Macaca mulatta: one gene and its partners. The protein of the gene in region 3 interacts with the protein of the main gene of each other region in a pairwise test. Links are inferred from orthologs where the notes say so. Each region holds a gene or a part of one and is shown on either strand. Other genes may lie near its edges.

Evidence for each region.
Region 1: the proteins of SH3BP5 (region 3) and EXOC1 interact in a two-hybrid assay, tested with the Homo sapiens proteins (2 studies listed by BioGRID and IntAct). The link is inferred for Macaca mulatta from reciprocal best matches to the Homo sapiens genes SH3BP5 and EXOC1.
Region 2: the proteins of SH3BP5 (region 3) and TNKS interact in a two-hybrid assay, tested with the Homo sapiens proteins (2 studies listed by BioGRID and IntAct). The link is inferred for Macaca mulatta from reciprocal best matches to the Homo sapiens genes SH3BP5 and TNKS.
Region 4: the proteins of SH3BP5 (region 3) and SOS1 interact in a two-hybrid assay, tested with the Homo sapiens proteins (2 studies listed by BioGRID and IntAct). The link is inferred for Macaca mulatta from reciprocal best matches to the Homo sapiens genes SH3BP5 and SOS1.

Annotation. Positions count from the first base shown.
Region 1 is NC_133410.1:77,576,184-77,581,837, forward strand, and holds part of EXOC1 (exocyst complex component 1), read right to left. Parts: coding exon 5,652-5,654; intron 4,501-5,651; coding exon 4,272-4,500; intron 1,358-4,271; coding exon 1,174-1,357; intron 1-1,173.
Region 2 is NC_133413.1:11,722,591-11,728,993, reverse strand, and holds the start of TNKS (poly [ADP-ribose] polymerase tankyrase-1), read left to right. Parts: upstream 1-2,843; 5' UTR 2,844-2,849; coding exon 2,850-3,522; intron 3,523-6,403.
Region 3 is NC_133407.1:33,153,044-33,159,258, reverse strand, and holds the start of SH3BP5 (SH3 domain-binding protein 5), read right to left. Parts: upstream 4,211-6,215; 5' UTR 4,033-4,210; coding exon 3,895-4,032; intron 2,187-3,894; coding exon 2,124-2,186; intron 1-2,123. UniProt on the Homo sapiens protein: Functions as a guanine nucleotide exchange factor (GEF) with specificity for RAB11A and RAB25. Inhibits the auto- and transphosphorylation activity of BTK. Plays a negative regulatory role in BTK-related cytoplasmic signaling in B-cells.
Region 4 is NC_133418.1:85,933,580-85,939,233, reverse strand, and holds part of SOS1 (son of sevenless homolog 1), read right to left. Parts: intron 5,371-5,654; coding exon 5,148-5,370; intron 3,707-5,147; coding exon 3,587-3,706; intron 284-3,586; coding exon 121-283; intron 1-120.

The DNA of each region.
Region 1 (5,654 bases), on a different chromosome or scaffold from region 3:
ATGATGCCCAGGCTGGTCTTCAACTCCTGGGCTCAAGCAATCCCCAAACTGGTCCTTCCAAAGTACGGCGATTACAGGTGTGGGCCAGTGTGCCTAGCCACATTACTTTAGAATCAGATAAAGCAAAGCTACTTTGAATTTTAAAAGGAAAAATCAAGGGCGGGCACAGTGGTTCATGCCTGTAATCCCAGCACTTTGGGAGGCCAAGGCAGGCAGATCACTTGAGGTCAAGAGTTTGAGACAAGTCTGGCCAACATGGTGAAACCCCGTCTCTACTAAAGATACAAAAATTAGCTGGGTGTGATGACACCTGCCTATAATTCCAGCTACTTAGGAGGCTGAGGCAGGAGAATTGCTCAAACTCAGGAGGTGAAGGTTGCAGTGAGCCGAGATTATGCCACAGTACTCCAGCCTGGGCAATAATTGGTGAAATGATTCCATTTCCTGCCAATTCTTTAGCTTCTACAATTCCTGAATATATGCAATCAGATCATTTATTTCACATGAAATGACATGCCCAGACTTTTCTGTAACTTAATTGTGGGATCTGACACAGGAAGAAAGCGAGTTATAGTATTTCAGCACTAATTTCTCCTGTATTTTAGTACTAATTTCCTTGTATAATAGATATGGAAAACTGAGGCCTAAATAAATGAATTGATTTGCTTAAGGTCACACACACATCACAGCCCATCATCTCTAGAAGACCACTTGTTGAAATGCAAATGTAATCTGGAAGGTCATGTTTTTGTGTTTAAAAAATGATTTTCTACAAAAAATTAGCAGGGTGTGGTGGGGTGCACCTGTAGTCCCAGCTACTTGGGAAGGTGAGGTGGGAGGATCATTTGAGCCTGGGAGGTGGAGGTTGCAGTGAGCCAACATAATGCCACTGCACTCCAGCCTGGGTGACAGAGTGAGGCCCATCTTAAAAAAAAAAAAAAAAAGATTTTCAATTTTGCATAGTCATAAGCCCATATGAACCCTAAAATGTAAGTGGTTCCTAATGATTATGAATAGGTTTTATTTTTCAAATTCAAGAAATCTTTAATGTTAGAAAACCTAAAAAAGACTGTAAGATACACAAAATAATGAACCTATCTGTTCCCGACTTCTTAGTTACCAGAAATAAAAACAATAGCTACAACAATTCTTTAGAACATAACAAAAGCTTACCATTAACAAACACTCCTCTGATAAGTTTGGTGTATGCTTTATCTAGGTCTCCACGACGCTCAGCATTTTTAAAGATTGATTCTGCAAGTCCAGCAAATTCTTCAAATTCAGCAACAAATGGAAGAATTCCGACTTTACTCTTCTTTGAGATCTTTACTTCTTCCATTTGCCTTATTTGGTTACTCTATAGTTAGGCAGAGAGCAAGGGAGATAAATAACCAAGCAACTTTAAAACTACATATAATCACAACAAAATATATAGATGGAGATATAGATATATGCACAGATATCATAGAGGCAGGATATCACGTGGTAGCTAGAACACTTTGGATGCTTACTAATTAAGAAAAACTAATTCTATAGATAATAAAACCATTTTACAGTAAGTTTAAGAAAATCAAAGTAATACAGATTATTTAAAATCAACTATAAGCTGGGGACGGTGGCTCATGCCTGTAATCCCAGCACTTTGGGTGGCCAAGGTGGGTGGATCGTTAGAGGCCAAGAGTTCAAGACCAGCCTGGCCAATACAGTGAAACCTCATCTCTACAAAAAACACACAAAAAAATTAGCTGGGCGGGGTGGCACATGCCTGTAATCCCAGCTACTTGGGAGGCTGAGGAATGAGAATTTCTTGAACCTGGGAGGCAGAGGTTAAAGTGAGCCAGGATTGCGCCACTACACTCCAGCCTGGGCGATAGAGCAAGACTCTGTCTCAAAAAATAAAATAAAATGAAACAAAACAAAATACAATCAAGGCTGTGAACTTCAAGTCTCTGTACAAAGTAAAAACAGTCAACACACATTTCTACCATTTATGAAAGATGAGTACAAGGCAATTACTGATTTTAGGTTACAGGAGAGCAGATTCTAGAGCACCTATAGGATCCCTCCAGGTAACTTCTGGTTGGTGGCCACATGGTCAAGTTTGAGAACCACAGTCATTTCCAATTTTCATCAGTCTAAAATTTCTGTCTGGATAGACAAATTCTCTATTTTCAGAGTATAGAAACAAAGAAGGAGGACAGGCATTTCCATATGGATTTGCATTATTTAGTTTTCCATATATTTATTAGTCACTTATTCTTAGTTCCACAAACTGCTTGTGCATGATATGACAAAATGTGAAAGACATGTTTCATGCAGACAGAATCCTAGGTTCAAAACGATCCACGGATTCAATTATGGTTCTATGGTTCTGAAGGGATCTAAATCTACTCAGTAGGAATGATTACACTGCCAAATACTTTTGTATTATTTCAGTTTCTACCTCAAATTTCATTGTGTTGAGATTTGGGGAGTATAACTCGAAAACCATATGACATATGGATTAGCAAAATAATTATCTCTAGGCTTCTGACATCAGTATAAAAAAACCCTATGAGCATAGTCAATTATTTCATATTATGTGTACTCATGTTCCACTTCATCAGTATTGGCAACTGTGAGGTGAAAAATGGATGCAGTAGAAAAGGTAGTGGTAAGATCGCAGGTACTAGAACCAGACTGTCTTGAATACAAGACCCATATTTTTAAACTGTGGACCTGGAGAAAGTAACTTCACCTTTCAAACAATCTACCCTATTGAGGGGCTGGGTTTAAGATTAGATGACATAGTATGTGCAAAGTGCTCAGACTTGTGCCTGGTACACAGTAAGCACTCATTTATAAATGCTGGTCTATTGATCTTATTGACCAGCATTCATAAATGAGAGATAAGATCTTATCAAAAATAAGATATTATTAAAATAAGAATTAAAATAAGATATAGAGAAGGATGATAGGTAGAAGAAACCACCCTTTAGTGGCAAACCTATGTCCTTTATATATATATGCAACTTATGAGAATATGTGAATTTATATCTTTGTCTCGATTACTTTCTCTAGTGCCACACCTTGAGAAGTGTTCATGAAGCATTTTTTAACCTGGCCCAGCCCAATTCATACATACAAGTGTAAAAAATGTAACAGACAGACAGCTGGGTGCAGTGTCTCATGCCTGTAATCCTAGCACTTTGGGAGGCCAAGGTGGGCGGATCACCTGAGGTTGGGAGTTTGAGACCAGCCTGACCAACATGGAGAAATCCCATCTCTACTAAAAATATAAAACTAGCCGGGCATGGTGGCTCATGCCTGTAATCCCAGCTACTCAGGAGGCTGAGGCTGGAGAATTGCTTGAACCCAGGAGGCGGAGGTTGAGGTGAGCCGAGATTGCACTGTTGCACTCCAGCCTGGGCAATGAGAATGAGACTCCATCTCAAAAAAAAAAAAAAAAAGTAACAGATAGTAAGAAAGTTGTTAAATTTTTTTCTATTAGGAAGAAAATGATAATTGCTCAGTTATAACAATTTATTCTTAAAATAAAATACAATTATTAAAGCTACTAAACTATTAAAATAAAACAATTAAAATAATCAAATTAGTTTTCTTATTAGAAAGTATTAAAAGAACAATAACAATAAACCCAAGTGATAGTTTCAATTGTTTCATTAAATCAATGGTCACTGACTAATAAACTGAGATGTCAGTTATTCAGTGAATTTTTCTTTTTTTTTGAGACAGTCTTCACTCTTGTCACCCAGGCTGGAGAGCACTGTTGCAATCTTGGCTCACTGCAACCTCCGCCTCACAGGTTCAAGCAATTCTCCTGCCTCAGCCTCCCGAGTAGCTGGGATTATAGGTGTGTGCTACCACGCCTGGCTAATTTTTGTATTTTTAGTAGAGACGGGGTTTCGCCATGTTGACCAGGCTGGTCTCGAACTCCTGACCTCAGGTGATCTGCCCACCTCAGCCTCCCAAAGTGCTGGCATTACAGATGTGAGCCACTACGTCTGGCCTCGAGTGGATCTCTTAAGCAACTGCCGCCGCTGTGCCACGTCCTCCAGAACTTGCCAAGATTCACAGTGTGGAAGGGAAACTAGCTGGCATAGTACCACCCAACTAACTCTGTTCATGCAGATTGTTGCCATGCCCTGCTTTGAGGGACATGAACAACAGATTCCCCAACAGAAAGCTGGAAATCCCTCGATTTAAATACATTTACCTATATTTTGCAATGACTAGGATGCTAAGGTATTTTTTTAAAAAAGCAAACTCACAATGCATTTGTCAAAGTTCCTTTTGACAGTCACCAAAACATTTCCCAATGTAGTACTTAGGAAAGAAGCAGGGTCCACATTTTGTGCAGTCCACACATGATGACTCATTTTGACTAGCATATAAAGAGAGTTAAAGCTGTCAATTTTGTCTCCTAATGCAATTAGGTTGTTCAGCTCTGGCTCAATGCAGCGAAATATTTTAATCATCATTTGGCGGATCATATCTTTCCTGTTCAGAAAACAGACAAGATATATAAAGTTATAACAAGCTTCAGGTGAATTCACCTTTAACTTTAATCCACTGGGTATATACAAAAGGACAAAAATACCATAATTAAATTTCAATTAAAAATGTCTAGATAGCCGGGCACGGTGGCTCATGCCTGTAATCCCAGCACTTTGGGAGGCCAAGGCGCGCAGGTCACCTGAGGTCAGGAGTTCGAAACTAGCCTGGCCAACATGGTGAAACCCTGTCTCTACCAAAATTACAAAAATTAGCCAGACGTGGTGGTGCATGTCTGTAATCCCAGCTACTTGGGAGGCTGAGTCAGGAGAATCATTCGAACCCGGGAGGTGGAAGCTGCAGTGAGCTGAGATGGTGCCATTGCATTCCAGCCTGGGCAACAGAGGGAGACTCGGTCTCAGAAAACAGCAACAACAATAACAACAACAAAAAACAAATAAAAATGTCTAAATATGATTATAGCAGTTTTTGATATAAAAATATTTTACTAACGTTGAGCTTTATCATTTGAATTAGCTTTAATTTGTAACGCTGGGTCATGAAATGTGCTTTGTGATTTCTAAGAAATACACTACAATTCAAAGGCTTCCCCATACCAGCAAACAACAGATTGACTTCATCTTCTGTGAGTCCTGGAGCAAGGAAGAGCTGAAGAGCCATAAAATAGGATGAATTTTAAATCAATAAAATGTCTGATAAGACAATGCACACACACGCTGGTGCTCAGAGTACCGTCAGGCTACTGAGAAACATCTAGACCCCGCCATGAGCAGCATTCCACGTTTTTTTTTTGTTTTTTTGTTTTTTTTTGAGACGGAGTCTGGCTCTGTCGCCCAGGCTGGAGTGCAGTGGCGCAATCTCGGCTCACTGCAAGCTCCGCCTCCCGGGTTCACGCCATTCTCCTGCCTCAGCCTCCCGAGTAGCTGGGACTACAGGCGCCCACAACCGCGCCCGGCTAATTTTTTGTATTTTTAGTAGAGACGGGGTTTCACCGTGGTCTCGATCTCCTGACCTTGTGATCCGCCCGCCTCGGCCTCCCAAAGTGCTGGGATTACAGGCGTGAGCCACCGCGCCCGGCCCATTCCACGTTTTAAAGTTTATTTTTTCCAAAATAAATGATAGTAACAAAGACATACTCA
Region 2 (6,403 bases), on a different chromosome or scaffold from region 3:
AAAGGAAGTTGTGAGGGGAAAGCTATCAATAGTGGCTGTGAGTTCATGTTAACACTTTATGCATGCCACGTAGAAGAACGGATCTAACATTCAAAGAGTGCTTATAAAACATCTAGGCTTTTAATCCTCATGACAGTGCTACACTAAAGTCAAAATTTTAGGCTGGGAAGCATATCTATCAAGATTAGCCAACTAGTAATCAGAGATGCGACTTTCAAGCCCAGGTTTGTTTGACCCCAAGCTTTGCTCTTTCCACTGTGATATAGTGCATTCCTCATGGAATTGTGTTTAGCCACAGAAGAATAGGTAATGGCATGTGGCCTTTCATGTTTGGAGCTCAACATTAGTCGGTATAAATCTACACTTCATAAATACTTAATGTTAAGTACTTTTCCTACTTTCTGCTGGAGGGAAAAAAGCAATTTCCAGTTGATTGACTACATTTCCACACATGGTTTTCCAGTACAGTTTCAGGCAATTTAGTTTTTTTTTTTTTTTTTTTTTTTCGAGACAGAGTGTTGCTCTGTCACCTAGACTGGAGTGCAGTGGCACGATCTTGGCTCACTGCAACCTCTGCCTCCTGGGTTCAAGCCATTCTCCTGCCTCGGCCTCCCCAGTAACTGGGATTGCAGGCACGCACCACCACGCCCAGCTAATTTTTGTATTTTTAGTAGAGATGGGGTTTTATCACGTTGGCCAGGCTGGTCTCGAACTCCTGACCTCGTGGTCCGCCCACCTTGGCCTCCCAAAGTGTTGGGATTACAGGCATGAGCCACTGCGCCCGGCTGGCAATTTAGTTTTTAAAAATCCCTATCCAGCAGAGGCTTCCTTATTTTATTGTCATTTTTTTTTGTACTGACACAACAGATGCATTTTGAATAAGTCTGAACATCACTACTTTCTATGAGTAACTGGCCATTGGGAGACCAGATGAGATATTTCTTATGCCTCCCATTCCAGGAGGCCATTATTTAGGGGACACATGGCATGTTATGGACATCTAGCATATCATGTTGGTCCACCTCCACTTCTCAATGGTTCTCTGCTCTACATCAAGAAGTTAAGATTTAAAAACAGAAGCATGAAGAAGAATGTTGTGGACTGATGCACTGATGTGCACTGATGTGAGTTGCACTGATGTGAGTTTTCCTATCCAGCTACACTTTTTGTTAGGTGTCTACCGTGAACAATGGCACAATTTTATCAGACAGCTGGATAATGTTAAGAATTATAATCTGTAACCCCAGATTACATGAAAATAAATGCCATTCGTAATACTAATTATGTTCCTGACCTTATTGTATTTAGTTAGTAACCCCAAATAAACTCATCTATTTATTTGAATGGGAATATTAACATCACATAAATCATATTTAACAATGAACACATGAAACAATGTATCACCTGGTTTAATATTCTGCTTGACTCATCTAAATCTTGTTTCTCTTAGGTCATAGAATTTCCATCTGTGTTCACTCTATTGGAATAATGCTGTTTGTGTATAATTCTATAATGCCTGCTTTACTATTGAACAGTAGGTATGGAGTCTTCAATGGGATTATCTCATTCACGGATACATCTTTTGATGGCAGAAAAAAAAAGTATACATAGGTAGGGGAAAGACAGAAAAAGCAGTTGCTGAAAAATAGGACCTGATGGTGAGTAATGGACAGCAATCTGTAACCCAGGCTGGAGTGCAGTGGTGTGACCTCAGCTCACTGCAACCTCTGCCTCCCGGGCCCAAGTGACCCTCCCAACACAGACTCCTGAGGAGCTGGGACTACAGGCGTGTGCCACTTTGCCCAGCGAATTTGTGTATTTTTTGTAGAGATAGAGTTTCACCATGATGGCCAGGCTGGTTTCGAACTCCTGGGCTCAAGTGATCCGCGGGTCTCGGCCTCCCAAAGTGCTAGAATTACAGGCATGAGCTACCGTGACCAGCCTAGCAATCAGGTTTTTATCCGTTTGGGATGTGGGAGAGGCTAAGCTAAACTAGAATTCAAAAGAAAGGAATATATTCATAATTAGTTAAACGTAGGGTGAAAAATAAAATTTCAGAGATAAGCAGAATAGGAAAAAAATCATTATTTTAATAATTCACACCTATTGCACCATTATTTCAATTTTACAGAGAAAAACAGGCAGAGTGATGAAATGGCTCATATATACACAACAAATGGCAGAGCTGGAATGCCAATCCTAGCAATCTAAACCAGCATTTAAAAACGAGGAATTAAAGCACATAGGGTGAGAAAAATTATAGGGAAGGGACAAGAGCTCAAGGACACACCTGGAAAAGAAATACTATAATTTTAAAAATTACCAATGGGCTAATTATAGTTGTGTTTTACTGGCAGAGCGCTTTGTCTATGTTAGCTCTTTTAATCCCGCTAATAATTCTGTGAGGTTGGTACTATTAGTTCCATTTTTCAGACGAGGACGCTTAATAGATGATAATCGACACATTCTCTGCTTGCTCTGAGCTGCATCTCAACAGCTGGCTCTGGAGCAAGCAAAGGGAGACTGAGGGAAACAGAGCGGACCAGGGCAAGCCGCCTGAAAGTGAGAAATGCAAGAAATGTTTCTCATCTAGGCAGGAGCTGGTTCCAGCATTCAAATCTCTCCAGCCGGCCCGCCACCACGTCACAAACCCCGCCTTTCAGTGACAAAGCCCCGCCCCGTTCCTTTGGCTGTTCCCTAAGCTCCCAATACTTCCCTCTTTCTCTTTGGCCCCTCCTACCCCGCTAGCATCATTTCCTGTGCGCTGGATGCTGATTGGTCCGACGGTCGGAAGTGAGGGCGGGCGGTGGGGGCCGTTGCCGCAGTGACAGTGCTAGGGGAGTCCGAAGATGGCGGCGTCGCGTCGCTCTCAGCATCATCACCACCATCATCAACAACAGCTCCAGCCCGCCCCAGGGGCTTCAGCGCCGCCGCCGCCACCTCCTCCCCCACTCAGCCCTGGCCTGGCCCCGGGGACCACCCCAGCCTCTCCCACGGCCAGCGGCCTGGCCCCCTTCGCTTCCCCGCGGCACGGCCTAGCGCTGCCGGAGGGGGATGGCAGTCGGGATCCGCCCGACAGGCCCCGATCCCCGGACCCGGTTGACGGTACCAGCTGTTGCAATACCACCAGCACAATCTGTACCGTCGCCGCCGCTCCCGTGGTCCCAGCCGTTTCTACTTCATCTTCCGTTGGGGTCGCTCCCAACCCAGCCGGCAGTGGCAGTAACAATTCACCGTCGTCCTCTTCTTCCCCGACTTCTTCCTCATCTTCCTCTCCATCCTCCCCTGGATCGAGCTTGGCGGAGAGCCCCGAGGCGGCCGGAGTTAGCAGCACAGCACCACTGGGGCCTGGGGCAGCAGGACCTGGGACAGGGGTCCCAGCAGTGAGCGGGGCCCTACGGGAACTACTGGAGGCCTGTCGCAATGGGGACGTGTCCCGGGTAAAGAGGCTGGTGGACGCGGCAAACGTAAATGCAAAGGACATGGCCGGCCGGAAGTCTTCTCCCCTGCACTTCGCTGCAGGTCAGAGACTTTTGAATTGTTTATTAAGGGTTTTGGGTTTGGGTGCAGGGTCCAGTTAGGACAAGAAAGCAGGTTATTGTGATGGGACAAAGTGGGGGCGTGGTCATGGTTCTTCAACACCTCACCAGAAGACTAGAGGTGCCTTTCTTTTGATGGTGTCTGGGTGATGGGGGCGTGGTTGGGGTGGGGGGATAAATGAATCCAAGAAATTCTTCAGTGGTTGCACAGTTTAGTTTTCGGTGTGCAGGAATAAAGTTAGATTTGGACAGCTTTAGAGTAGTTTTGTCATTTGTGTGCTATTTTGTTTTTACAAAGGTATGTCCCTTGAGGAGAGTCCAGACCAAAAGAGGTTTAATACAACCCAGCAAATGTTTGAGCATCTATTGTAGCCTTAGTAACCCAATGAAAGACAGAAATGAAGTTTATGAAAGTTTCCCTTCTTTTAAAGAAGTTTACAGTCTAGATGGGGAGACCAAAATATGCCAGTGTGAAACAACTGGAGAACAATATTTGGATGCATTATATGATGATAGAAGAAATACAGGCTTTGATATTGTGGCCACTATTATTTGTTGTATAGCAGACCGTTTACCTTGTGTCAGTTGCCTCAGTTTTCTCATGGGCAAAAATCATAAAATGATGTTGTGCGAGCATTTGGTGAGACGTATCTGGCACAAAGTTCTCCCTCAAAAAGTGTGAATTTCTTAAGCTCTGGACCTCACACTTGTCTTTTTTTTTTTTTTTTTGCAAATAGTTGATGATTTTCTCTCAAAGACACCTAATAATATGTTTATAAAATAAAGAAAACTGTAAAAGAAAAACAAAGGACTATAATTTCACTGCCTCGATACTTACTGTTGATATTTTAAACATATAGGTAATAATGTTATATACATTAGAAACATTATATTAGAAATACATGTATTGTCCCAAATAGGACAGAAAAATACAAAATGAAAGGCATCACACGCTCACAAACATCAAAGATAACACACCAAAGATAACTTCTGTTAAGTTTCTCTTATATTTCTAATATATATATGTGTCACTTCTTCAGTTTGTTCTGTTAATAGTAAAACGTGTTGACCCACTGTAGTAGTATTTATTTTTACCACACTTGGGAGATATGATTAACCATTTTACAGATGACAAAAGTGAAGCATATATAGATCGTTTAAGTAAGTCCAGATTCACTCAGGAAATAGTAGAAATTGAGTTTGAATTCAGGTAGTTTGACTTTAGAGCTTGTGAGATCAAACTTAAACTGTCAGAACCCTGGATTAAGGTCACTTCATTTTTGTGAGTAATTGAAGTGTAGAGTTCCCGATTTTTGGGAGAAATAGTAATGGGGAGGGGCTTATATGCAAGACAGTAGCTTTCACATGTTTTTTATTGTAGCCCATACTTAGAAATACATTTTACATGGTCACATATGCAACTGAATCAAAAGCTTCTGGAAACAATACTTTCCCTTAATATATGTGTTGTCCTCTGATAGTTTATATCTTATTCGATTTCATTTTTAGTGAATGCTGCTTGTGATCCATTAATGGGTCATGACCTGTGGTATGAGAAACACTTAAAGGAAATTATTATTAGGTCACTGGATTCATTCTTGATATACAGACACTACTTACTAGGAATGCAGTGGATTGAATCATAAACAGACTTTTGTCTATTTGTTTGCTCAAGGGTCTTGCTTGTTTTAGATGAAATAGCATTTCTTTTTCTTTAGGCTAAATGAAAGGCCCAAGTCTGATTTTATAAATCAACAGAGATGTCTACTTTTGCATACTTTATTCCAAGTTTGACTATTTTAACAAATTGTTTCACCAATCAGGTTATTTCTCACCACCCCACTTTATGAGTAATCACCAACAAATGATAGTTATACTTATGTGTATTAATGTATTTAGGATAAGTCACACAAAATAGTGCTTGTTTCTCAAATCACATGTCTTCTATTTGCTACAATAGTTACTTGTTATTCTGTTTCGGAGTTTTACATACATCCAGATTAGCTAGAAGATAAACAATAAAACAGTACCGTAATTATGTTGTAGTTATGAGAACCTAACCTTGAATTGGCTTTTTAAGAAAAATTTTAGCTCAGTTGTGGAAAACACAATAATAAAATTCTCAATGATAGGAAAACATAATATCCTGTAGTCAGTTTGCAACACTTCCGTGATTGAATGCATAACATTAAAGTTTTATTAAACTTTAGTCTTCTTTATCATGTATAGGCTGAGAAATGAAAAGAATTATCAGTGACTGGTTATTATGATAGTAATTGAATTGTCATGGAATAGCTGTTTTAAAGATGAGAAATTGGTACAATCCCTTGAATGAAAAAATTTAAAAATTACAGTTTATTTGTTCCAGAAATATTTTAGTGTACTTAGATGATTGGATGTTAAATACTGACACAATTGTGTAATGGCAAACATTCTGTAAGCCTTAAGGAGCTTACAGTCTAGTAGGGAAGCATAAACAACAACAACAAAAACCTGCAAAGTATCTAGTGTCTAATCTGGCGTGACAGGAAACGTACATTATACTGTCTGTCCCAGTATGTAATAGGAGCTCTTATCCTTGCTTTAGAGCAGTTAAGGAAGTCCTTCTAGGTAGATTTTTTTTAAAGCAGGTGTTAAAAGGGTGAGCCCAAGCTAGCCAAGCAAAGGTTGGAAGGGATGATGTTAACTAATACTTTTATTTCTATTTAAAAATGAGTTTACAGTTCTATGGAATGAAATGAAACAATTTTGTTTTCTTTCCAACTTTTAGGCTCAGGGGTTATATGTGCAGGTTTGTTACATGGTTAAATTGCAAGTCTTGGGGGCTTTGGTGTACAGATTATTTCATCACCTAGGCAATGAGC
Region 3 (6,215 bases):
GGCGAGCAATTAGAATCAATCAATGCCTTGGTGTGGGGGGTGGGGAGAGTGGGGGAGGGTAGGAAGAAGAATATTTCCAGGATGGGTATGGCAACTCATGCCTGTGATCCCAGCACTTTGGGAGGTCAAGGTGGGAGGATCACTTTGAGGCCTGGAGTTCAAGAACAGCCTGGTCAACAGAGCAAGATCCCATCTTTACAAAAAAGTTTAAAAATATGAAAAATTAGCCGGGTATAGTGGCATGCACCTGTAGTCTCAGCTACCAGGGAGGATGATGCAGGAGGATTGCCTGAACCCAGGAGTTTGAGGTTGCAGTGAGCTGTGATTGCACCACTGCACTGGGATAATAGAATGCAGGAACTGGAGGAGATCTGGAAAATGCCTGTGACTATAAGATGGGAGCCCTGCCTCTGAGGCATCATCACAAAATGCTAAGCCTCTGAGTCCTTATCTGGAAAGCAAATAGTCCCTCCCCTCCTGGTTCTCCAGGCCAGAACATTCTATGATGATAGTAGTTTAATACAGTGGCAACTAGACTGTTTAATATAGTGGCAACTGGGCTCTTGAAACGTGGCTATTATGATTGAGGAACAGAATTTTGTCTTACTTAATTTTAATTAAACTCATTAGCCAGGCATGGTGGTACACACCTGTTATCCCAACTACTCAGGAAGCTGAGGAATGAGAATCACTTGAGCCCAGGAGGTGGAGGTTGCAGAGAGCAGACATCGCACCACTGCACCCCAACCTGGGCGACAGAGTTAGACTCTGTGTCGAAAAAAAAAAAAAATTAATTAAATTCAAATAGCCATACGTTGCACATGGCTACCATATGGGACAGCATAGCTCTAGGCTGGTGTGACAGGATGGAATGAGATAAAACGTGTAAAAAACAGTCTGTAAATGCTAAAGCCCTATAGGAATGGTAAGGGTTTTGTTGTTTAATGCATTAGAAATCTGAGATCCTAAGAGGTTTCGGTTACCGCACATCACAGACAGACTCAATTCATAAGTGAAAGAAATGTAAATAAACTAGATTTTACTTCACTTAGGGAGAAGGACAGCCCGTGTTCTTGTACACCTACGATGGAAATGGAGGTGGTGAGCGATAACCCTTCACACAGCTCAGAGCAACAGACTTTTTAATCCACATTGCTACATCCAGATTTGGTAACTCCAGGGCCTACGCATGCAGCAGAAATCAAGGCTGCCTGTGAATCCTGGCAGATTATATTCCTGTCTCCCACACCCTCACTCTTAGGGACCATGTGCTTCTTGTCCCTTCCACTGACTTTTGCTATTTCTCCTGCTACAGAAACAGACTTTGCCAACAGCTCCCTGCACTGGGAAGCTGCGCTGAGAGTCCCTTCCAGGCTCTGACAGTCAATTCAGTCTCCTGAATACATACAGTGGTTGTTCAAATTTGCTGATGGGTGGTAAAAGCAACCACTACTGGAAAGGGGTGGAAACTAATCAGAGGCTGTGATGAATGCTAACTTGTTTACACTCCGGTTGGAAAATGCACATGAAACCTAAATCAAGTTTTAGTCTTCCAAGATTTTTCCCAGTAGGAAAGGCCTTTCCAGTCTAAACAGCTTTTTGTTACCATTATAATTATATTCTATGCACAAGCAGACAATAAAGAAATGAGCAGGAAAGCAGAAGGTGGGGGTGAGTTATTAGGACAGGAAAGTCAAGAAATGGTCGAAGTCAGAGGAAACAACACAACCTTTCCAGGACAAATGGCAGGAACCGCCCTGAACATGTAAGAGATTTTGTGAGCTCATTCATTATTCTTCATTAAAGAGTTCAGCTAATTTTCCTCTCTATCCTTTCAGTCACATGAAAACTTGGGGCTTAGGCGTTGTGTAACGCTCTGCACAGACTTGATTTAGGCCCCATGGAGCTTCCATAATGAAAAACAACATGTGAAATTGGATCCACATGCGTTCCGCCCACAGGTTGAGCTCAGTGGTGTATTTTATTCTGTCAGGGAGCTGTTGCTCAACTCCCAAGGAGGGGGGTCCAGCAATAACCCTCCAGCTATGAAGACAAAATTAACCAGCCTTGTGCCGGTGTGAGTGACATCACTTCACCAAGAACAGGAACTCAGCTCTCTGTACCTCGAGTTCAGTCTCCCGTCTGTTGATATCATCCGTGGACTGATTTAACTTCTCCAGTTCTCCCTGGTGAAGAAAAGAGGGAGAGAAAAAGACTTACGGGATCCGTCTTTTGTTTCCAATATAACTCAGTCCATAACCTGAAAAATTATCCCAGCCCAGTTTGCAGGAAAAGGGAAGAATTGGTATTAATTCTTAAGGCAAACAGTTGAGGCTTAGCTAGAAAAGCAAATGAATGTCAGCATTTCTGAAACCATTTTCTTGAGGGTATCCTTTTTGACAATGTCTTCAGAGACATTTGGAATTTGTCAGAGGTCAAATATTCCAGGTATGTGCCTTCAGGTAAATCCCACCTGTTACAAATGGTTTAATGGCCTCATCAAAACAGCACCATCTGCCTTGAGCAAGAACTTTGCTTAGAAAACAATAAAAGACAATAAGCAAGGCCAGGCCAAAAATATAAACCCAGTGAAATCATCAAGGGCAGAATTCTGGTATTAACTCACCAGAATTATTTTTCTGTAAAGGGTGAAAATCTTTTCACACTGCCAATTATTCAACCTACTTAGCTGGATGTTTTAAACTAGCTTTAATCCCATTCATTTCAATAAACATTTACAAACTGACATTTTGTAAAAAGCATCCAACATGAACTTAACTCATCTTTACTATGCAAACAAAGGATCTTGCTAACATAATCCCATACCAATAACACACGATTTATTCCAAACCAATTATTTTAATTAATAGCATTCCTAATGCAAGGTTTTTTTTTTCCACCTGATCTTTATCTTGCTAACCTGACAAAACAATTCATTTAAACCCTAACCACTGAGTTAAGTGAGCTTTTAAATTGATCTGTGCACTAAAAAACCAATTAGGGATCCAGAAATTACAGAGCATGCTTAAAAGCAATTTTTTAAAAATGATTTACTGAAAAGGTAGAATAAAACGGGTCTTAGAAAGGGATCTGCTCTGCTTTTTGCTTCGGGGTGAAGAGGTTAAACTGTCACTCCTAGATCTCGGCTTGGAAATTGTTTTTTAATCATCTCTCTTGGAAATGGAGGCACAGTCAGCCAGCCCAATCCCCTCGCCGCCTCCACGCGTCAGCTTTGCGCATCAGTTGTCCCTGATTTCTGTTCATGCCCAGCCTCACAACAAGGAAAAGCAGGGTTTTAAGCAATTTCAGGCCAGGCGGAACGTTGAGCCGGTGGTGACAGTAAGACGCTCAGTTCTCTAACAATGAATCAGAGAAGGAAAACGGCTCAGGCCGGGCACCTTGGCAGGTGAGGACTCTGCACCCGGGGCACCAGTGCCAGCCCGCGCTGCAGGGGCGGGCAACGCCCACCCGCCTACGGTGCCCGGCGCCCACGCGGGCGACCCCTCCTCGCAGAGCCTGGAGGCCATGCCTTGCCCGCGGTGCCGTGGTGGCCGGGCGGGGGGTACCCCCGAGGATACCATGGCGCCCCCGCCCCCTTTTTCCCTTTGTTGCACATCCGCCCGAACCACCAGGCACTCTGCGGCGACCCCGATCCTGCTAGGGGTCTGCGGGGGGCTCCCCGCAATAGAGTCAGGCCGCATCCACGCGGGCACTGTAGCCTCCTCATTGTGGAGACGATGAAACAGAGCATACAGATCGTCTCCTGCCACCGTATGTGGCCGCCAGTCCCCAGACCACAGTCACTGGGGGCTGCGAAGTGGATGTACGCGTAGACGCCGACCTCCGCAGCAGCCCTCGCGAAGCCCGGATGCGGGGTGACCCCGCGCGCCCTACCTGGATTCGGGGATCCACCTCTTCTTCCTCCTCCAGCCCCTGCTCCATCCCCTTTTCCTCCTCCTCCTCCTCGTCCCGTGCAGGCGGCAGGAGCTCGGCTGGCTCCTCCGAGCGGCTCCGCTTCAGTGCCGCGTCCATGCGGGCAGTCGCCACGCGCGCCGCGCAGTGGGCTCCGGAGCGCCCTGGAGGTAGCGGCCGCCACAGGCTGGGCTGGAGCCGCCTCGCCACAGCCGGGCACGATCAGGGAGCCGCCGGGGCCGACACCCGGGAGGCACAGCTCGCCGATGCGGATCCCTCTGGCCGCGGCGGAGCAGAGGAAATGGGCGCGGCCGCCCCCTTTCTGCCGCGGCAGTCAGCGCAGCGCCCGCTCCGCCCCCGTCCCGCCCCGGCCGCGCGCTCCTCGGCCAGTCCCAGCTACCCAGGTCTCCGTCACAAAACCCCAGCTCCCTCCACATCTCCAAGGTGGCAAATTAGGAGAGCCCCCACCCCCTTGTAACTTAGCAGCCCGGATATATCTCAACTGCGTAACGCAAGCCTCCCGCTTTCGGGAGTCCCCTTCTCCCGCCCTCCTCCGAAGCGCGTTGTGTGTGGTAGGAGGCGTGGGGTGTTTTCACGCTGAAGTCGCCTTCCGAAGCCTGGGCTTAGTGACCCTGGACCTCAGGACCAAGACTTGCCGAAACCCTGTACCCAAAGGCACATTCCTCCCCTTGAGCGAACCTTGGGAATGGCACCTACTCAAAGATTTCCCCAGAAAAGCAAACTAAAATGTGCGCTTATATAGACACAGGAGTGTAGAGAGGAGAGCCAGCTGCAGCTCCGTGCACGGATGCATCGCCGAAGGCTGCGGCCTCTCTGGGCGAGCCCCGTACCAAACACAGAGGTGCGGCGGTCCTACCTGAATAGCCAGGAAGCATGGAGAATGCATTGAGCTGGGATGCCTGTGGGCAGACACAGCCTTTTTAAGGAGGTGGCAAGTGTAACCCCTGTTGATGGGCACACTCTGGCCAAGAATTTATGAATTAGTGAGACTTCCTGCCCACCATCAACAAGTAGGGAGACAGAGTTGGCCTGGCAGACACAGCATCCGAAAAGACCAAACTGAAGAGGCATGTGTGTGCTTTTATGAAATGTCAGGGCCACTGTGATGTCAGGGGAACCCAAAGGATGACCTTGGCAAAGCAGGTGAGCACATAGCTGCTCACATCTCCTTCCTTTGAGAAATGCAGAACGTGCACATGTTCTACACGGAGGCCTGTAGCCCATCTGCTCTGAGTTTGGTGGACAAATTTGCTTGAGAATGGAGCTTCTTTCTGAGAACCTATCATCAAAACCACCTTACAAAACCTGTGTCTGGCACGACATGGTAGCTCATATCTGTAATCCCAGCTCTTTGAGATGCCAGGATACAAGGATCACTTGAGGACAGGAGTTCAAGACCAGCCTGGGCAATACAGCCAGACACCTTCTCAAATAAATAAATAGTCCTGCTTCTGGTGGTTTTATCAAAAAGTAGGCTAGAGGGTTACTCCTAGGGAAAGGCACCACCCCATACACGCTGGCACTATAGTCCACTGTCAAAGGAAAATTGTCCTATTTTCTGGAGGTAGTGCCATGGTTTGTTTCTAAAAAGGTCAGACCTGCTCATTGCTCTTTAAATCAAGGATGAGTCAGCAATTCTGTGAGAGGTGTTTCAAAGTTCCTTGCTAAAGACATAGTTGCTTTTGGTTTTCCAATGATAGACGAAGCCAGGGACAAGATAGCCATAGGGGTCACTTTGGAACACAGGAGCCACCAATCTTCCCTGGTGGCTTGGAATTGAGCCTCCAACTTTGCAGGTACATCCTAGCTCTGAATAAACTGAGAGACAGAGTTTGAAATAAACAGAGGCCTCTGGGGTCAGCCCTGACTATGATAAATGCTTCTTAGCTAGCAGAACCCCATCCTCTCCATCGCAAATGACAAACTCCAAATTACATTCCTGCTTCAGCTTAGGTCAAGAGCAAAATGTATCTGTGAGACATAGGCCAACTGCTCAAGAACATCAGTTCAGACTTCTGTTGTCTTATTTTTTGGAGATCTGGACCAGCTATAGTGTTAATCCCAATAGTGTTTCTAAAGCTAAAATAAGAAAAACAAATAAAACACAGGCAGTACTATATACAGTCAACCCTCCACAGCCTCTCAGGTTCTACATGTGTAAATTCGACTAACCACAGATAGAAAATATTTGGGGGAAAAAAACACAACAATTAAAAAAATACATATTTAAAAATACATGGCCAGGAGTGGTGGCTTACACCTGTAATCCTAGCATTTTGGGA
Region 4 (5,654 bases), on a different chromosome or scaffold from region 3:
TCTTTTAATCTCCTGAAAAGACAAATGAGACATTTAAAAATTAAAGATAATAATTGTTAAAAATCTAATGTTTATAATAGGGAATGAAAGTTCATTTTAAAAACACATGTAGAAACCTACCTCAAATGTGTGGTCTAGTCTGTAAACAGGTGAGGAATTCATAGCACTGACAACCTCAAGGACACCATTAAAGTTGTTCAACTCTTGAAAGACTTGTAGAATCTCAATTATTCGACTCACCACAGCTACTCTTTCTTCTAAATTTTCAGTTTCTACAATACATCTGGGAATTAAAAAAAAAAAGTGAACTAAAGATTCTAGAGTTTTTCCAATAAAGTTATAAAGAATTTAGTAAATAAAATAATGTAGAGAGTGGGGGCAGGTGGCTATAGTATAACTACTATAGAGAAGACACATTCAGGGTGACTGATAGAAGGAAGGCAGTGCCTCCAGTGAGGCATACTGCTCTTTTCTGTTTTCTAGACTGGTACAGTCAAACAATCATTTTCCTACTGTATTTGGTGCATCCTCTATTAGCATTAGAATTAACTGGTGAGGCTACTATCTTGTGGTATGTATGTAAGTCTTTGTGAGGTCTTTGTGATATGGGTGTATTCTAGTAGAATTCAAGAATCAGTGATTAATGCTCAATTTCTTTCTTTCATATATAATTGGCTGCATACATTTCTAGGAACAGCTCTGTTCCTATGTTTCCTACATTTCTAGGAACAGCATTAACTGTAATGGCAAAAGCCACAATTACTTTTGCACCAACCTAATATATAATTGCATTGAGATTCTGGACTTGTGGTATGATAGTATGAGTTTCACTGAGTGAAACTGGTAAAAATTATTAAAACACACAAACACACACATGCACATGTGCACACACACATTTAAAGTCTCTAGTAATGGCCCTGAGAGCAAATGGCAAAAGAAACATCTATTCAGGAATATCTACAAAAATTTGGTAAGAGAGGGAAGAGAGTCTGGTATTTGAACCAAGACTGGTCCCTCCCTCCTTTCTCCCAGCTCAGTGAGGGTGGACTGAGCATCTACTCCAGATTCCTGCAGTCAAGAACACCTAGCTCCCAGTGAGGTACAGGAGCAGGACTTTAGTTTTCTCATCCTGTCCCTGCTGCCTGTTGCTGAGGCCAAGTCCCAGTTGAGTGCAGCTGAAACGTGGGAAGACCCTTCCTTGCCCAACTTCCACTTATGGAATGGAGACTCTACCTTGGGTATGATATTTTGAGAATACTGAGAAAAGAGCCCTTCCTCTGGTTCCTGAAGGCGTGGTTCCATGCCAGAAGAGGCAGGTAAGGAGACCTCAGGCTACAGTACCATCGTCTGCCACTCTACCTGCTCAACCAAGCTCCTAGGGCAGAAGTGTCACTCAGAGAAAAGCTTGCCATTATCCCGAGCCTTAGAGCCCTGTTTCAAACAGATAGCTCCTAATCTTGTCATTTGCAACAAAGTATAAAGTAGTTTAAATTTAATGGTGCCCTTAAGAACAGAGGAAATTGTGGTGAAAGGCAATGGGGAAGAGATTTGTGGATCTAATGAAGATACACCCTAGACTGTAGGCAGAGTAGTTTGCAGGGGAGAACTAGGAAATAAGACAACTGAGAGAAGCCCTCCTGGGGTCAGAACAAGTATGAAACAGAAATCTCAGAAAACCATTCCTTCAAAGGAGCCACAATCTGATTGCATTATTTTGTATAGCATTTATGCCACCAGGAAATCGTTGAAAACATCAGAGCAATCAGCTGGCAAATTGTGGAGTTTCATAGCTGGGTGTGTGTGGTCAGGGAAGGAGTGGATGGGTCTTTCCAGTACCACTGCCACGCAGTAAGAATCCCTGGAAAGGGGGTTGGGGAATGAGGAGCAGCACTCAGAGTTGCTACAATATATTATCTGAAATGTCAGGGTTCCAACAAAAACAGATGAGGTATGCAAAGAAATAGAAAATATGACTCTTACAGCGGGGTGCGGGTGGGGGAGGGGGGAAGGAACAGAAACTACCTGTGAGAGCAACCAAATGTCAGATTTAACAACAATAACAAAAAAGATTTCTAAGTAGCCATTATGAATATGGTTACAGAATTAAAGGAAAGCATGAAAAAGAAGGAAAGGAAGGTGTTGATGACAATGCGCATCAAAGAGAGGATATCATTAAAGAGATAGAAACTATAAAAAGGAACCAAATGGAAATTCTGGAATTAAAAAGTACAATAACTGAAATAAAAAACTTACTGGAAAAGCTCAATAGTGTATTTGAACTGAAAAAAAGTATTAACTTGAAGATAGAGGTATTGTTCAAAAATGAAGGTAAAATAAAGATTTTCCCAGATAAACAAAAACTGAGAGAATCTGTTGCTAGCCGACCCTCCAGAAGAAATACTAAAGGAAATTCTTCAGGCTGAAAAGCAAGTGATCCCAGATGGTAATTCGAATCCACACAAAGATCACCAGTAAAGGTAATTGGGTAATTATTAAAGACATTTTGTAAATGCGTATTTTTTTTCTCATTTCTTCTCATAACTGACTTAAAATAATATAAACACATTGTTGAGTTTATAACATAGAAATGTAATATATGTGTAATATGTTGCCAATAATACACAAAGGAGGTGGGTGAGAGCAAAGCTTTAATGGTCTAAGAGTATGATGACAAATGGTAAAGTAATAACTGTAGCAATGTATTGTTTGATTTGCATTATTAATAAGATGTAATATGTATAACAGTACCACAAAAAAGGGAGAAAGGGAATAGAGCTACATAGGAGTAATATTTCTATATATCACTGGTATGAAGCTACTGTAAGTCTGAAGCTGATTCTGACAAGATGTGTGTGGTAAACTCTAAGGCAACCAGGCAACCATTAAAAGAACCTCAAAAAAAGTTAATGAAAATAATTAGTGAAACTAAAATGCTACATTAGAAAAACATTCAACGTTTTCTAATGAAAAATATTGTCATTTTCATTCAATGAAAAACAATTACTAAATAAAGGAGGAACAGAGGAAAAAGACATGAGACATATAGAAATAAAATTGCATTGGTCAGGAACAATGGCTCATGCCTGTAATCCCAGCACTTTGGGAGGCCAAGATGGGTGGATCACTTGAGGTCAGGAGTTCAAGACCAGCCTGGCCAACATGGTGAAACCCCGTCTCTACTAAAAATACAAAAATTAGCTGGGTGTGGTGGTACACGTCTGTAGTTCCAGCTACTTAGGAGGCTGAGGCCTGAGAATTGCTTGAACCCAGAAAGCAGAGGTTTCAGTGAGCTAAGATCACGCACTGCACTCTAGCCTGGGCAACAGAGCCAGACTCTGTCTCAAAAAAAAAAGAAAAATTAGGTGAGTGTAATATCACACACACTGTAATCCTGGCTACTCTGGAGGCTGAGGTGGGAGGATCGCTTGAGCCTGGGAGGTGGAGGTTTCAGTGGGCCGATGTTGTGCACTCCAGCCTATGTGACAGAGCAAAACTCCCTCTCAAAAACAAAAACAAAAACAAAATTGCATTGAAATTCATAATATAGCTGACAGCTATAAAATGTAAGAATGCTAGGAATACTTACTTCTCAAACCACAGAGTAAGGTTGGTGGTATGTCGAATCATTTTCAGAAGATTAGGAGAGTTAATTTCTTTGTCTTCTTTTGTCCACACACTTCCAACTAATTCTGATGGCTGTACAGCTCTAAAATCATCAATACATAATTCTACATGACAGTTTTTCCTCTAATATAGACACTGTTTTATTAAGTAAAGGAGATAGATTAAAAACTAAACTCTCATATGAACTTTCCTCTTACACCAACAGAAAGGTTTGTGAAAACAAGGTATAACAAAAAAGTATAATTATGCATATTTCCTTATGGATTTTTTAAAACTTTTTTTTTTTTTTTTTTTTTTTTGAGATGGAGTTCCACTCTTGTTGTCCAGGACGGAGTGCAATGGCACAATCTTGGCTCACTGCAACCTCCACCTCCCGGGTTCAAGTGACTCTCCTGCCTGAGCCTCTCGGGTAGCTGGGATTACAGGTGCCCGTCACTAAGCCTGGCTAATTTTTTGTATTTTTAGTAGACAAAAGGTTTCACCATGTTGGCCAGGCTGGTCTCGAACTCCTGACCTTGGGTGATCCACCTGCCTTGGCCTCCCAAAGTGCTGGGATTACAAGAGTGAGCCACAACGCCCGGCCTTTAAAAACTGTTTTTAAAAACTATTTTTATGGAAATACCTGTGTACTTTTAGTGTTGCTTTATAGTAGCATTTTGCTTTGGGCAAGGTTGAAACTCCTCCATAATATCTTTTCCAGCATTTATAAACATTATTAATAAATTAGGGTGACAAAGTAGACATTTAAGTAATGATATCTGTTATAAATCAGTTCAAAGAGGGTACAGTAATCAATGCAATTCCTACATCTTTTTTTTTTTGGTCTAAAGGAGGAGAGGAAAAAAACCTACCACAAAAGGGTCCTAGGAAATAAACAAAATAGATTCTAATACTGTAATTTTCAGAAATATGATTTTTAGTGGGAGATCTATAAATTTAGCTCATTTTCTCATTTAGCTATTAAAAAATGAATAATTTAGTTTAAGATTCTAAATAGTCCCCATTTAAAATCAGAAGGACATTTTTGAGATAATTATATCAATGTAGTATGATAAACTAAAAAAGACTATAATGGCTATAAGTTCACAATAAAGCAGTAGCCAACATTTATTGAGCCCTTACTTTGTGCTAGGTAATGTACATACATTGACTTTCAAACCTCAAAACAGCCCCAGGAGTACGTACTATCAGTAGCCCCATTTTACTCTTGAGGAAAATAAGGGGCAGAAGGATAAAGTTACACAAGGAGGTTAAAGTTGCCCAGGGTCAGCAATTAGTAAAGCCAGGATTTGAACCTAGCCTTACCAACTAGGGGTGACCACAGAAAGACAGAAGGTGTAAATTCAGCTGGAGGGACCAAGGGAGTGAAAGAACAGGAAGTGCCTGCCTGGCCTCATTACTAGACACTTCATGTACGATTTCAGTTAAGTCTTAGGACAACCCTGTAAGGCAGAAATCAGTATTTCATTTTAAAAATTCACTCTTTTGAAATGATTTTTCAGCTTGAATGTTAAAGTACATACCGGTATAGATCTGATTCAAGTAAAGTGAGTTGTCGAGCAATTTCTATTGGGTGTAAGGTGAGCAGGTCGAAAGTCTCTATGTGCCCAGGTCTGCTTATATGCCACTCAACTGTGGGAGGTGAACTCTGAAATGTAATATTATGACCTGGTCCATTGTCTCTTGCAATTTTTTTCCTTTGGATTATTTTAGTGATGGATTCAACCCATTTTTTCATTGCTTTACCTGCAATACATTATATTTTAAATAACATTTAAATATTCTTTATTTAATATTTTTAAAATGGTTTAAAATCACACAGATGATACCTGAACGTATCTTTGCTATAAAAAGTTCAAATGATCAAAATGAAAAATACAAGTTCCCTTTTTCCATTTCCCGGCCCCCATCCTAATCTTACTACTCTTCTCCACATGGGTAACCACTGTTAGTAGCCTGGCACGTGTTCTTCCAGATCCTTTCCAAATAAAATTAGAAAGTACTTAATTTGTAGAGACTGTCCACCCCAT